2 linked regions of the Oryzias latipes genome follow. The protein of the gene in region 2 binds, or shares a complex with, the protein of the main gene of each other region. Links are inferred from orthologs where the notes say so. Each region holds a gene or a part of one and is shown on either strand. Other genes may lie near its edges.

Region 1 (4,678 bases), on a different chromosome or scaffold from region 2:
TCTTGTTAATTGTTTAACTTTAAACCACATCAGATCCTAATAAAATTAGCTACTCAACAAATATTAGACGTAAATGCAAACAAAAGAAATGTTTTTCATCCCATTTTCCTGATTCCATCAGTCGGATGCAGGCTGGGAAGAATACTACGATTACATCTTCCCAGAGGATGCTGCCAACCAGCCCAACCTTAAGCTGCTCGCGATGGCCAAGATGTGGAAGAGGCAGCAGATAAACACCGACGAGCCTCAAGAAAAAGGTCGGAGTGTTGAAGAGGCAACATCAGTGGAGGCTGAGGAGACGGGCCTCGCCGACAAGCAGGCAGAGGAGGAGCCTGCCAGAAACATGACTGAATCCGAGCAGGAGAAAACGTATGATGACCGAGACGACGAGGACAGCAGCAGCAGCAGTGATAGTGATGAAGATGAGGAAGCAAAGAAGAAGCAGAGCAAAAGCCCTCAGGAGGACAAAGATTAGATTCAGTCAAAGCAGGCAGGGATTTTCTACATTTTTTTAAAAAACTCAGCTCACGAGCCATCTTTATTGCAACTTTTCTCTGTGTCGTTACACCGCTTAGACTCATTTGTGTGTTTTCTCAACTGACTTTCTTTCAAATTTATAAGAAATAAAAACTAAAAACTGCAACGTTTTGTACATTCAGTGGCTCTCCGACTTTGAAGCAGAAAAAAAAGGCGCTTGTGTGTCATTTTCACTATTTACATGGTCACTGAACTACAGCTGAAATCACAACACAGCAGAATAAAGACGGCAGATCCGAGTCAGAGAGCCACACTCTGATGTTATTCAATATCCTCCGGTCTGACCGGGTGTGGCAGCGGGATGATCGACTTCTTCTCTGTGTCTCTGGACAGAGCTTTCCTCATATCTGCAAAAAGAATCATCAGTTTGATTATTTTAAATCATTCTTTCCAGTAAAAAGTATATATATATATTTTTTTTTTTTCCAACACTAGGGAAAAATGAATTTACGTGTATTTTTTTTGCATTTTATTTGGCTGTAAATCAGAAAAACTTTTCATTTTACAGCTAAATCCATTTAATTTGTTAAAAAAATTCCTTTGATAGTTTACTTTAAAAAAAAAGAAGTAAAATTGACCTGTTAAGACTACACATTTGTTAAATGTCAATTTTCAAGTGTTCGTGACTACATAACAGTCTTCAGATAATTATTTCAATAACTTATTCATACTAAGGGCATTAAATGCATTTATCAAACCCCAAATACTGATCATAAATAAATGGTTTCTTTTTTAAAGGATTCAAAAAATTAAGCTTTTCAATATTTCTAAATAATGTATTAATGTCTAAATTAAAATGAAAGGTTAATTTCCACTAACAGGGATTGCTGTTTCTCATGTATGTAGTAAAATAAATTCAGCTCTAAGTGTTACCGTAAGCATCTTCATCGGGCTCCCCGTTGCTGGCAGAGTAATACTCGATGACTGTCCTGTACACGCTGTAACCCAGACGTCTGTACATGTTTACAGCAACCTGGTTGGACACTCGCACAAACAGATCCACAAAGAATCCTCCCTTCCTTTAAAATGACAAAAGGAGAATGGTCAATACAATGATCAAAATCAGATAGCTTTCCAGATACAAACCTCTCTGAGATTTCCTCCAACATTTCCATGAGCTTGGCGGCCAGCCCGAGCCTTCTGAACTCCGGAGCCACAGACAGAGCGGTGACGTGACCGTGCCACTCCTCGCGAGCAACAGATCCCTCTGCCTTCCCCATTACTGCAAAAAACAGGTCCAATGGGAGATGTGATGCTTCAAACTGTCAAAACTACTAAAGGGCAACTTGTATACATCAAACTCGGTATTTAGAAACGGATTTTTCCTTTTTTATATTTGAATAAAAAAGCGAAAACAACTCTGTGGCTCATCAAATTTTCAATAACCATAAGGAATATTGTAAGGAAACATGGAAAACTCACTGTAGCCCATCAGTTCCCCACCAGGAGCCTCAGCAACAATAAAGTACTCTGGCCAGTGAGCCAGGTACTGCAGGTAAAATGGGATCCCATACTGGAGGTCAAGGGTCAAGAAAACTCGTTTTTTATAAGCACACACTATAGTGTTGTATATTTCAAATAATACTACACAAATAGTTAAGGAATCATTCCTTGAGAAATGTATTATTAATGTTATAAAATGTTATTAAAATATTTAATACAAGACTTAAAAGTTAAGAAAATAAAAACCATAATCTCAAGAGGACAGATAACAAGATGTAAACTTTTTGCATATTTCCTTATATATTTACACTTGAAATTTATTATTGTATAATATATAATGATATACCTTCTTAACCAACGATGAATTGAAAGCTCATCGAAAAGGATACAGTCTCAGTTAAAGGATCCAAATTTCTGTTCAACAAAACAAGAGCAACGCTGTTTACTTTAAAGCACAGAACAATTCTCGCAAGATTTTTGTACAATATGTCAGGGGTGAAAAAAAAAAAGCTATTTATGTAGAACTTGTTTTAAAAATCCGGGGTAAAAATATCCTTAATGCATAGTGTTATATGTTAGCCGTCGACACAGCACAACTCAGCCGGCTCGAGTCGAAGCAAAAAGAAGCTAATATTTTTCTTCCAAATGTTTATTTTTCAGCCACAAACTCTCGTGAGATTCCTTGCCTTTAAATTAATCCAGCATGTAAACATACAGTCAGGATTGTACTCACATGTTGTTGAATTTGAATAAATCATCGCAGGTAAAGGGTCGCAGCGTTGTCATGTTTGCTAACTACAGTAAGCCGAGCAGAGAAGAAGAAGGACTTCAATGTAAAAAGACCACGAGAGACTTAGGAGCGCCCTCTACTGGAAAGGTCGCGTACAGCTTGAATTTTTCGTCAGTACCATTCTTCTTCGGCTGCAAATCACACGTCTCCGCCACTACCTAGTGTGTGTCTGCCACCTGCTGGACTGAAGTATCTGTTTTTTCCTTTGAGTGACCAATGCATGCTTTTTTCCTGTTATACCTGTTTTTGTTGTTATATTTTTTGTAAAGATGATCCTCATGTGAGTGGAATACTCATAAAAGCCCTGCCTGTGGGCGATTCCAGTAAAAAAACACCAGTTTTGCATTATGTCACAAAGAATTAATAAGAAAAGAAGGAGAAAAGGAAGGGAGGTTACCTTCTGCAGATATATAAGACCGTCTCAGGCTGCTTCTAGCACCAAGAGTTATTCTCTGAAGAGAGGACCATTAATACAAATGGACCTTTTTAAAGTGTGGGGAGTCTTCTGTTTCATTGCCTTCTCCACGGCTCAGGACCCCACCAACAGGTAAACATGAAGGACTCACCTAGGTAGCCGAATAGCTCATCTGAAATGTTTTTCTTGCTCATTTAAAAATAAAATGTGAAAGTTTAGATCAAATTAAGATTTGATAATGAGAAGAATGACAAGGACGGTTCAGGAGTTGGAGTCTTGTATAACTTAATTTACATAATCTTTAAAGAAGTTTTTGAAGTTTAGGTTACTGCATCTAATTATAATTGGAAGCCATAATACTTTGGTGGCCCAAGATCTTTTTTGAATCATTGAGTTATAACTTTCTCGCTTGTCTTAATATTGTTTCTTGTCTTTTATTATAGACCAGATCCTCCACCTTCATACCTTCTGCTTGCTCCCCGAACCATCCAAGCTAGAGTCCCAACTTGTTTGTCGGTCAGCATTCTGGGAAGAGAGCTGGTCACTGTGTTAGCCCAGATTTTTCATGGCAAACAGCTCGTAGCTACAAACTCTACTACAGTTAAAGGAGGTACATCATCTATCCATTACCAAGAAAGACGACTGTCTTTGAGCTCTGAAATATGATTTTAACATGAGATTCCTGTTTTGTTTTGCAAGGGTCAACCAGGATGCTGACTTTGCCAGTGAGTAATAAAAGGTTTTAATCAATAAATATTTATCTATTTTTTTCCTAATTTTATCTGAACTGTTGCATGCTGTCACTGTGTGAAAAATGGTATGACTCTTTTACATTTCTTGTAGGTATCAAGTTACCGAATGGTCCTTAAAGTTCTGGAAAAACCTTTAAATGAGAAAATTATCTCCTGTAAAATTGAATTGGAAAGGGGTTTTAAAACAGATCAATAACAGCTTACTTTTTGTGTTTTTTAAAAATGGTGCTTTGTTTCTCCTCCAGGTCATTGATGGTGAAGCTGACAACAAATACCCATACGTCCTTGAGGTCAAAGGTTATGTGGGGAAGTCCTTACTGTTTTCAAACTCCACAAACCTGTCCTTTGACCCCAAAGGCTGCACCACCTTCATTCAGACAGACAAACTTAACTACCTGCCAGGGCAAGTGGTAAAGATTAGAGCAGTGTCTATTCTCTACAATGGAAAGCCTGCCAACAGCTCCGTGAACATCACCATCACTGTGAGTCCAACATCACAAATGCTAACATGTACATGTGCAAAAATCCACCCTATACACAACAAGCATATTATCGTATGTTTTTCTTCAACTGATCAATAAACATCAAAATCCAAACTTTTCAAATACTAATTTCATTTACAGCACAAATGTTTTCATGTAAAATTCAGTTTTAGCTTTTAAGATATAGTTTCTTTTTTTATTTGAAATACTGCAAACTGAATTGATCAAGAAGTCATGGTGGGGTAACCGAAACAAAGCA
Region 2 (3,913 bases):
CTCCTCGCCCTTAATCCTCTCCTCCACAAACCGCACCACGTCAGCCACCGAGTGATGGACCGGGCCCTCCGGGCAGCTGCAGACGAAAACAATGAACCAGAACCGGAACAATCCAAACCCACAAAGAGCTGGGAGCTGGACTCACTGCTCGCCCTCCTCTGGAGGACTCCACGACCGATCCAGCAGCTGGAAGAGAGAGTCGAAGTAGGCGGGGTAGAACTGCCAATCATCAGGGCTGCGAACAAACACGACATCACGTCAGCTCAGAACCCAAAACAAAGACAGACACCGGTCCTGGTGGTTCTGGAGGATCTGACGACAGACCCAGAACTGTTCCACAGAAACACCAAACGGTACCAGAAGTTCAGCCGTTTCTGCAGCTTCTGTCTTAATAACACGGATAAACATCAAAGGAGAAAACATTTCTACATTTCTAAGATAATAAGGCGGGAAATACAACACAGAAACTGTCAAAGCCAAACGCAGCAGGTCCAAATCCCTCTGCCATCCCATAATAACTCTGGGGTGTGGGTAAGACGCATTCATGCATCAGACTGTCTGCCAATAGAAGGCGAAGACCGTTTGCTCACAGACTGAAGGACGCGGAGCAGCAGGTCACATGACTCGGGGGCTTGTCCGGGTAACGCCTGCACTCACTTTTTGAGGAGCAGCTTGTGGGCGAGGGCGTTGCACTCGGGCCAGCGCTCCAGCCGGCGGTACAGCATCATGCACTTGCTCTCTCTGCTCTGCAGCTCGCTGGTCAGCTTCTCTGAGGGAAGACGCCACAGCACCGGTCTGCACCCGCCTGAACGCCACCCGCCACGCCCCCGTGGACCCGCGCCGTCCACCTACCTCCCAGCGGACCCCGGATCACCTCCAGAGCCTCCACGCATTTCCCCAAACGCTCCAGGATCATGAAGTAGAGCTGCACCTACAGGAAGTGAAGACAAACACGCCGCTCCTTCAAAATAAGGGACGACTCAAAGCAGAGATGAAGCCTTGGTTTCCGGTTTATCTCGACACAAACTAAAGTGTTAAAACACTAAAACCTTTTTGTTATTTATAAAATAACTAAACAAAAACTCCATCAAGTTAAATTTCAAAGTAAAAGCAGGAGGAAGTGTTAGAAAGCAGAATTTGGAGCCGACCATTTTCAAAGTTCAAGTTATTCATTATAATTATGCTGCTTTTAGCCAAGCTCTAAAATGCTAGGACATAGTTTCTGCAGAGCAGCACGAGTTCCTTACCAACACCCCCAACCCAACATCAGCACCGCAGCAAAAACCGCAGCAGCATCAGATCTGTGCAGCCGAACAGTTTAGATCCAGATTCCAGCTCAGAACAGGAAAACAAACACGTTCATGGGTTCTAATCGTCTGCAGGTGGACGCATCAGCATGGGGCGGAGCTTGGAGACTTTGGCCCCGCCCATTTACTTTGCTGCGTCACAAGTAAGAGCTTTTTCAAACCACAGGTTTCCGTTTCTCCTCCATCACAATTTGAATAATACTCAGGAACGCAGTCTTAAACTTCAATTATTTTATATCATGAGAAAAATGCAACAATAACACATTAAAGCCACCATTTTCACTGAAGTGGGGCTTTACTGTCACTGGCAACAGCAAAATAACAAACCGTCTACTGCAAACTATTACTACTGCAGAAGGCTGCTTCAGATATGTGCAAAACAATTACAAAACACATTAAGATCTGTGCAAATCTTTACGGAACAAAGCATATTGGTGCAAAGCAGCATTAAATCTACTCACCACTTTACTTAAAGTGTGAAACATTCTACATTAAAGTGTTGCAACTGCTGTTCTCCAGCTTAGGTTAATTGCGTAAAACGGCTAATCTCAGCTTCAGAATCTGCCGGATTTCTGTCGACTGCATGAACGGCTGAAGAGTAACGGTAACTTAAAGACCGTCAACAGTGGAGCTGAAGCTCTGGTGTTGATGGAGTTAAAGCCCAAACCCATCAACATTGATGAAAGAGAAAAGGCCCGGTTGGAAAGTACATCCAGGTTTTGAGTCAAACTCTATGCAGACGACAGCCTCACCTCTGCTTCTGCTTCAATCTTGTCCTCTCTGACCATCTTCTCCACCATCCGCTCGGCCAGCGGCAGGAACATGGTCTGGGCCAGCTTATCATCTTGTGCGGAGATTGCCTTCGACAACAGGCGACGATGTTTAGTTTTTTCTGGAAAAGCCGTTCAGCAAAGCATGAAGGCGAACTCCTACCTGCATCACCAGACTCATGACGGACCAGAAGTAATAGGGATTCTTGGGGACGATTTTGTACAAGGCCATTCCTGCCTGTGGCGAGAAGACACAGTCATCCTCTTGTGATTCTCATCACACTGCCATCATTCATCACCAGCGGAGCACCTGCTGCATCTTCTTGTACTCCCCCACGCGCGCATACGCCATGAAGAGGTGAGAGTGATACTCTTCGCTGAGAGGAACCTTCTTCACGGCGGCCTCGTACAGCTTGGTGACCAGCTCGGCTGTGAAGGACACGGTCGGCGTTTAACACTCGGTCCCCGCGGGGCAAACGGCGGCGTGCGGGAGCGGTGTGTACTCACGCCGGTGCATCTCTCTGTACAGTATGGTCAGGGCTTGGAGGGAGTTGTCGTCTGTGGGTTCCAGGGTGGTGACCTCCTGAGCTAAGGAGAAGGCCTCGTCCTGCTTCCCCGTCCTCTGGAGGCCGATGGCCTTCAGGACCTGCAGGAGACGGACAGACGGAGACCCAGCATTTCAGGGAGTTTCCAGAACAATGAACAGCTGTGACCAAAGAGAGAACAGGACCGGAGGAACCACAGGAACATCTGCGATAGAGACAGAAACGGGGCGGGTCCATCTGTGGATAACATCGACCTAAAAGCTGAAGCTCTTCGGCGTGACGATCGGAGCGGATTGTTGCAGCCGTCCACCAGACCGGCGGCCTCCGAGACCCCGACAGGAAGTCATTAGGAGCTAAACCGTGACATCCTGTGGTCATGTGAAGCTCTTCAGGAACTTTGAATTCAATATGAAAGGCAAACAAGAAGGTTTTCAAAGGGTTGATTCTGTAAAAGGTTCAGAGAAATGACTTAAAAATCCGGTCATTCACTTATTGATCCATATAAAATTCATCTTTACCAGAAAAAAATGTGATTTTCCTTTAGGACTAAGATCCTAAAAAAACCCACAGTGGGACTTTTGTTTAAAAGCAGCACAAATATACGATTACGTTATCCTTAGGTTAAAACAAATGCTTTTTATTGGTTTTAATGTCTTTTTTTCAACTTTACTCAAAAATTTCCCCTTTTGTTCATTTTAGCTCTTGGGGTCAAAATGGACCCATTTCCACACCTGAATAACAATTTAAAGGTGAAATCACTACTGATGCGAAAAGTCAGCGTAGCCTTGGTTGGAGCCGGATGTAACCCATTTTCTGTGGATGACATCACACTCAGTCCGTCAGTCCAGTTTCCGATCAGTCGGCGGTTCTGATGGACCCGTCTTCTCTCATCTCTGCATTAAACATCTCACATATTTTGGTGCTAAATATTTGCACAAATACACGTTATTTCCGTTTTTTAAGTCATTTGTGAATAAAGGTCTTATTTAAATGAACAAACTTCATTCTAGTGTGTTTTCCAGCTCAAAATCTACACTATAACTACCGACTACTGTCTCGGTTTGACTGCAGTTCAGTGAAGCATAAAAACCATCCGAGTTCCTCGTCTGAGAGAAACGGCTTCCCGAGTCCAACGTTTCCTCTTGGGAGAAGAGAAAACGCGGAAAGATGGGAATCGGCCGGATTTACGGAGAGTCCAGAGAGAACAGAAGGCAGCTCCGTGTTGGACGTGAAGCCGGCCTTTTCCAGCAGAGCTCCCGGGTTTAAAAACAGAAACTCCTCCTTTGAGCTG

The links. Proteins that work in one complex are often made in the same cells at the same time.
Region 1: the proteins of naa25 (region 2) and naa20 are in contact, whole or in part, in a cryo-EM structure (PDB 7STX), measured with the Homo sapiens proteins. The link is inferred for Oryzias latipes from reciprocal best matches to the Homo sapiens genes NAA25 and NAA20. Residues at the interface, in NP_079229.2 of Homo sapiens: Ser226, Glu227, Ile228, Asn259, Asp261, Asp262, Trp263, Gln264, Arg318, Arg321, Leu325, Lys362, Pro363, Cys364, Thr367, Asp368, Val371, Leu457, Thr459, Glu460, Leu461, Ser504, Ala506, Leu510, Leu532, Asp533, Lys535, His536, Ile537, Gln538; in NP_057184.1 of Homo sapiens: Thr2, Thr3, Leu4, Arg5, Thr8, Cys9, Asp10, Leu12, Phe13, Phe15, Asn16, Asn19, Leu20, Pro22, Leu23, Thr26, Tyr27, Gly28, Ile29, Pro30, Leu33, Gln34, Leu36, Ala37, His38, Pro40, Glu41, Pro49, Glu52, Met54.

The regions. Positions count from the first base shown.
Region 1 is NC_019882.2:16,315,742-16,320,419, forward strand, and holds naa20 (N-alpha-acetyltransferase 20), read right to left. Parts: upstream 2,840-4,678; 5' UTR 2,767-2,839; coding exon 2,714-2,766; intron 2,395-2,713; coding exon 2,370-2,394; intron 2,051-2,369; coding exon 1,960-2,050; intron 1,760-1,959; coding exon 1,624-1,759; intron 1,557-1,623; coding exon 1,411-1,556; intron 885-1,410; coding exon 799-884; 3' UTR 507-798; downstream 1-506. Other genes in the region: crnkl1 (crooked neck-like protein 1), read left to right, coding at 122-475; CD109 antigen, read left to right, coding at 3,247-3,317, 3,629-3,795, 3,885-3,910, 4,183-4,419. UniProt on the Homo sapiens protein: Catalytic subunit of the NatB complex which catalyzes acetylation of the N-terminal methionine residues of peptides beginning with Met-Asp, Met-Glu, Met-Asn and Met-Gln. Proteins with cell cycle functions are overrepresented in the pool of NatB substrates.
Region 2 is NC_019870.2:1,466,246-1,470,158, reverse strand, and holds part of naa25 (N-alpha-acetyltransferase 25, NatB auxiliary subunit), read right to left. Parts: intron 2,724-3,913; coding exon 2,585-2,723; intron 2,507-2,584; coding exon 2,388-2,506; intron 2,316-2,387; coding exon 2,241-2,315; intron 2,168-2,240; coding exon 2,060-2,167; intron 932-2,059; coding exon 853-931; intron 770-852; coding exon 658-769; intron 236-657; coding exon 146-235; intron 77-145; coding exon 1-76. UniProt on the Homo sapiens protein: Non-catalytic subunit of the NatB complex which catalyzes acetylation of the N-terminal methionine residues of peptides beginning with Met-Asp, Met-Glu, Met-Asn and Met-Gln. May play a role in normal cell-cycle progression.